2 linked regions of the Bombyx mori genome follow. The protein of the gene in region 1 purifies or fractionates together with the protein of each later gene. This does not show direct contact. Links are inferred from orthologs where the notes say so. Each region holds a gene or a part of one and is shown in the gene's direction. Other genes may lie near its edges.

Region 1 (3,280 bases):
AAAAGTGATTTTTTCTTTACAAACTATTGTATTACTAATCTGTATGGTATGGTCTTGGTCAAAATTTTTATAGTATTTTTTAATTGTTATTTTGAGAAAGAACTTGAGACAGAAATATTGTTTTCAGCTGCATTTTGATGATGTAGACCTGAGAGTGGACGAAACAATTGTGATACTTTTTTGGGCAAAAAAGGTGTTCAGTAAATTTCTCACCGATCAGCTGTTCTCTCTGCGTCCTACAGCTGCTGTCCACGACCTTGACGAGTTTTTCCACAGCCTTGTAAACCAGCGTTGCTAAATTATTAGGAGATTCCTCGCGCAAGGCACGTATCTCCGCACCGGGAACCAATGCGAATACATCTTGTACGTTGGTTACGCTCTCTGACCAGAACTGATCCCAGAAGCTATCGTCCAACGCATCTATAGGCTGCAAAATACATAAATCGATGAAACTAGACTGATTTTTATTTCATTATTTTTCTTCGAATTGGTGCTCAATTACCTGCGACTTTGAAGTTAACTGGACAACCGCCTTTCGAAAGTTTAATTTTGTGTCAGCATTACCCATCTTGTCTTTTATTATTTAATTTGAAAACAATAACTTCATATCAACATACGTTCACACAAAACAATAAATTAAAAAACGTCACTTTTGGCACAGAGTATTTACTTAGATCTATGACTTATATATTCAATGACTTATCTATGAATTAAGTTAGAATCTACTACTATATAGGTCTATGGAATCTACACGTTCATTTTGTCAATACATTAACTAGCCATCAACAGTAATCAAAAATGACATCATTACATTATTTTATGAAATTGTCGATAAAATTTAAGAAAATGTAAAATTTAGTAGCAGTCTTCATAATAAGTTCGAAATTTCTTTTAGGTTTTTGAGCATCAAACACCAAGTAATGTGGATCCATTTATGTCTTTCATTGTTTGAAATGAGTTGAATGAATTGATTAATATATGTACCTAGCTGGTTCTAACGCCTTTACATATACCTATATAGTAGGGACATCCTATATAGTAGGGATAGTAGGACAAATCCATTTTTCGGTCGGAATCGATTGATCATGACACCTACTGCTTAATGGCAGAAAGAGGTAGGGTGGTGGTATCAACCCGTGAGGACTCACAAGGCGTCCTACCACCAGTAATTACGCAAATTATAAATGCGGGTTTGATTCTTATTACACGATGTTATTCCTTCACCGTAGAAGTCAATCGTAAATAATTAACTGTTTAGTAAATATTTCGTTGGAAAAACTGGTACCTACCTGCGGCATTTGAATGCATCGCGGGCATCTTATACCTTAGGCCAAGACGACTTCAATAAATTAAATTAACTCTGTTTTGAAAAAAATAAATACCTGTCTGAGCTAAATGTTTTGGCTCTTTATGTACCTATACGTGACAGCTGACACAGTTTATCGATTGCAGTTGTATTAAAGGTTTTGGCAACCCAGGCTTTCGGATTCGATGAGAGAGAATTGCTGAAAGAAAATAAAGCATTTCGTGAGCTTGAAGAAATGGCTGCTGCGAATATTTTCCGAAGTGCTTTCGGTGGTCTATTACGGAGATCAACAACGTATAGAACGTCCGTAACATGTCGTCTTTCGACCGTTGCGTTGCAGCAAAAGTTCAGCACAATTAAAGCCGCTGTCAAAATATACAAAAGTCAGGCCCTTCAGAATGGGGTAAGACTCTTATCTACTGATATAATAAAATGCATTTTGGGCCGTATAGTGATCATTATATTACAATGAAATATTTCCTTAACATTATATTATTATAAATTTCTCGAGTCTGTTTTAAACAAAATCAATATAACCTCAATTATTATTGCATAACAAAATTACAGTGATAACTCGAACTGTTTAGGTACCACAATCACATCGGTACTCGACAGGCGTGCAGTCTAAGCTTTCGGTTCAGGAAATCGAGGAGCGAGTCCTGAAAGTGTGCAAGGCTTACGACAAACTCAGTGCTAGTCAGGTACATAATATTCATTTAGAAATATTTTGTTTCAGAACGAGAAACATGGTATCCGCAAGTACAGCGGTGGCCCTCCCCTCACCTTAGACCTTATAAAAAGTAGAGTACTGCTTGTACTTCAACTTTATGACAAAATTAACCCTGAACAGGTTAGATTGTGGAAATTTTATTACAGTCAGTGCAAAACTGGTGGGGCATAAAGTTTTATTCTAAGATAAAGAAATATAAAATAATTTTTCTCTTATTTTTCAGTTGACTGTAGATAGCCACTTCATGAATGATCTGGGTCTTGACTCACTGGACCATGTTGAGGTCATAATGGCAATGGAAGATGAATTTGGATTTGAGATACCGGATGGTGATGCAGAGAGACTGGTCAGACCAAAAGACATTGTCCAATACATTGCTGACAAGGAAGATATTTATGAATAATAAAAAAAATATAAACTTCATAATTTTGGACCAGTTGTATTTTTGAAACGATAACAAACCAAACACAAAATTGCATTTTCTTAATTTACAACTGGCCTAAAAGTATTGTTTAGTGATTAGACAACTTTTGTTTTAATTTTACACAAACGTTATCAGTGCACTTCAGACCATTGTGTAAAAAGTGTAAGTTTTGTTTTTAATTATATGCCTGTTAGAATAGATCATTTGTATTTCATTTGATCTGGTGGTACATTATCTGATAATAAAATAGTAAATAGATCACATTTTATTTCATTCATAATTCATGCTAAATAAGCATTTGACTCGAGAGTCCCTTTTTTTTAAAAGAGAAAATGCCTTAAATCTGTACTATTATTTGTCATTAATTTTTATTGATTTTCAAAACTGCTGGAGTATTTTGTATTTCAAGGTGGGCTATGTCCTATATGATGGTAAGTGGCTACCATTACTAATGGATCTTGACAATGACACACATAAAGCTACTAAATAAGAACTTATTTCAAACCTTGTTTGAAGAAAGATGTTGGGTGATTATGATGGGACATGACATGAAGGACAGCAGTGCATACTTGATAACATTGCCTTCCTCTTGCCAGAATATTGGCAATTGCTAACATGCCTGGAGCAGTGATCCTGTTTTTCCAGAAAAGCCAGGTGAACTCAGGAAGTCACTCAAACAATAAACTTAAGCATGCTAGTACTCTTGAAAGACAAAATTTTCATTAAAATACCAAATCTTAATTAGTTTTATACTATCTTATAAATGACAATTTCATATAGATTCTGTGCCCTGCAGAGTAGATGAGCAGTGGTGTTCAAC
Region 2 (3,288 bases), on another chromosome or scaffold:
TCGGGTAGCTGTTAGCAAATCCCACCCCTCCTGCCTGAGCCTTTGCTCGCCCACCTGTCCTGGTGAAACTGGAAAGGCCTACGGGCCACCAGTAATCCTTCAATATTAAAAAAAAACTCTGTTGATAGAAGAATTGAGTAACATCAATCAGTGTGCTTAGTGTGAGTTTTATAACGTTCTCAATAACGTAAAAGTTAGCAAATATTTGTATGGAATGGGATCGTTTGCGTACGTTTGCCGCTAGGGGTGCTATTGCAACTGCAAAATAGGGTTAACTTTAACGTTATCGAGAATGTTAAGAAACTCGCACTAAGCACACAGATCACCATCCGAGCTGAAAGCGAATCGTTCCCGAAATGTATTATTCCAGCGTACTGCGATTGACATTTAGTGGTGGAACGTATTTGTATTTATTTGATTCGAGTTGATACCAGTAACCTCCGTGAAAAATCAGCAACGAAGCTATAAGTCGTTCCGAAAGTTTGTTACATTCACTATACAACACTTTCGAAGGTTTTATAGACAAAGCGAAAATCTTCCACGAAACGGGTGGTATTGCTCTATAGACTGACGGTCTTAATGTTGCTGCTCGGAATTTTTATAAAGCTGCAAAGCTTATCTTGAACATTTCGTAGGCGTTAAATTTGAAGGGACTGGGTTCTGTAGGTGAGGCGCTATTTAAAAAACACTCTGCTTCATGGTTAATACAATTATATTGCAAATACTTTTTACACTATTACACCATTACATTTTATTTTTACAAACCCTTGATATTGCACTGTCCGTGTCTAGATGAGAAGTCATTGTCCTCACTGAAGAGAAGATAATCATCTGTTTTAAACATTCCAATATTCGAAAACTGTTACTTCACATGGGACAAGTGTTGCCTGCCAATACTTACATATTCAAACTCCAACAGCGAGACTCGGCCATCGATCATTAAATATCCTGTGTTCTATGATGGCTATCGCCACAACAACATTAATATACATTTCGATCCAGTCTCACAAGGCAGTGGTAGTATTAACTAATCAGCTCCGGTAATAATACGAACAAGGCTGATTTCGTTCATCAATCTAAGACAATAAAAAGTACTGAGATCATTTAATTTAATTTTGTAAGTTTTGGACAATTTAGGGGTCTTCGTATTTAAATTTTGCAGGTGCAATAATGTTGCCATATTAATCATTTATCTTCTGTGGGAGTGGACAGGCGCGGTAAAATATACCTAACCGATCTTTATTTCTTATTATTCAACACCGTGTTGTTTTGTCTCATTTTATTTAATTTAATATCTAAAAAGTCTTTATTATAAAAGTTGGATGTCTGAACGATGATTCCTTTGCCTACTGACTGGATTAATCAAATTAAAACAACGTCAAAAGCAAAATATGTAACCAAATTTTACCAAATAGATATTGATATGTAAAGTTCGGAAGAAAATTTAAATTTTAAACTTTAAAAATGATGAACTTACATAAAACGCTATACTAAAATGTCTACGAAATTGCCAAAAGCAACTTTGAATTTAAAACAGGTGGATATTTAGTTTTGCAATAGTGCAATTCGTGACTGTAATAGTCGACTGTTAAAAATCATTGAGACTACAAAATTGTGATCTATCGCTGAGCGTCAGGTGTGCTATGAGCTCGACCACCCTAATGAAAAATAAAACTAATTAATAACTGGAAGAATTAATTGACGAAAAACGACAAGAACAAACTAAAAAAAATATAATCTTCTTCATTCATAATATTTATTCCTTTTGCAGTTTCTTCTGCGTCAAGAAGTATTAAAATTATATAGAGACATATTCCGTACGATACGACTCGTGCCCGATGAACTGACCAGAATCGAACTTAAGCAATGGGCTCAATCTGACTTCAAGAACAATAAACATCATACAGATGAAACTACAATCAAAATCATGTTGCACTATGGAAAAAAAACACTAAAGGATTTGCAACATACACTTGCTTTAAGTAAAAGCTAATATAAACTACACAATTCAATAAATCAAAATATATATCATCATTTAAGATAGGCTGTTTGTAGATTTTCTGTAGTTTTACATTATAACAAGTAGTGATATTTCAATTGTGGTCATATGGGTTAAGTTACTTTTTTATATTTAAATCCATTTAGTTCATCGTAGTGGTCAAACAAGTGTTTAATGGAAGTGAGTAGTTAATTTGTAATCTTAAATATTCATTTAGAAAAAAAAGGCAGTCATCATAACATCAAAAACAATAAGTAATACATGTCAGTTCTAAATACACACTCTTCACCCTAAAGAAAGTTAAAAAACTGGACTAAATAAAAGTGCAAACAAAGTAATGACACAAATGCTACCATTATATTATAGTGATATTAAATCGATAATACCATTCAGAAACATATAAAAATTATAAACTATCACAGTACTGTATAACACTAACAGAAACATTTCATTAATTTAGACTAGATCTAACAAGACGATTATGTATATAGATAATAAATAGTATGGAAATGTTTAAATAATAAATTTAATATATGAAATTTTACAATAACCAATTAATGATTTTCTTTTTCAGTAGAAATTATAATAAAAATATTATATTAGTCGCTATGACCTAAAGAATGAGATGCCTGGTGAACTCATATCAAGTTATGCAACTGTATTGAGTCTCAAATCTCACAAGTACTAATTTTACTAGTACACACATAGTTAACACACCTTCATTTCTCAATGAATTCAGTAAAGGAATAACTTCAATTAAATATAGTTAAATCCACAAAGATTATAATATGCATAATTTATATTACAAGATGCCGTCTTGTAAGACTACATGAGAAGGTACCACTGCCCTGCCTATTTTTGCTGCAGAGCAGTAATTTATTCTGGTTTAAAGAGGGTGCAGTAATGACAATTGTCAACATGCCTGGAGGAGGTTGTCATTAATTTAGTTGTTTCATGAAACAGTATTAGTAGTCAATGTGAACACAATCAAAGGCAGGTTTTTTGAGTCACACAAAATATGTCATCCTGTGCATCTGCTATTATATGTGTAACTCAAAATACAAATCTTACTGTACTTTAAAAATACTTAATGAAACGGTTGTCTCTGACACAATAACTCATGTCGGAGATAACCAACGCCATAGCCAGTTTTGTTGTCGTATGACATCAGAGTGTACAGTTCAGATTATACAGATATAATAGAGATATATATCAGTACAGATTATATCTAATTTAAAAATTCACCTGGCCATCAAAGTCTTACACGTTTCTCTGTAAAGCTCTTTCAC

What was found.
Region 2: the proteins of NADH dehydrogenase (region 1) and LYR motif-containing protein 2 purify together in Homo sapiens (affinity purification with mass spectrometry; 3 studies listed by BioGRID and IntAct, counting the BioPlex papers as one, with this or other methods). This does not show direct contact. The link is inferred for Bombyx mori from reciprocal best matches to the Homo sapiens genes NDUFAB1 and LYRM2.

Annotation. Positions count from the first base shown.
Region 1 is NC_085114.1:14,895,668-14,898,947, reverse strand, and holds NADH dehydrogenase, read left to right. Parts: upstream 1-1,489; 5' UTR 1,490-1,541; coding exon 1,542-1,709; intron 1,710-1,893; coding exon 1,894-2,007; intron 2,008-2,042; coding exon of another isoform or gene 2,043-2,156; intron 2,157-2,259; coding exon 2,260-2,439; 3' UTR 2,440-2,721; downstream 2,722-3,280. Other genes in the region: protein HID1, read right to left, coding at 214-427, 503-568. UniProt on the Homo sapiens protein: Carrier of the growing fatty acid chain in fatty acid biosynthesis.
Region 2 is NC_085129.1:2,304,006-2,307,293, forward strand, and holds LYR motif-containing protein 2, read left to right. Parts: upstream 1-1,364; 5' UTR 1,365-1,495; coding exon 1,496-1,537; intron 1,538-1,739; exon of another isoform or gene 1,740-1,771; coding exon 1,772-1,993; 3' UTR 1,994-2,553; downstream 2,554-3,288. UniProt on the Homo sapiens protein: Involved in efficient integration of the N-module into mitochondrial respiratory chain complex I.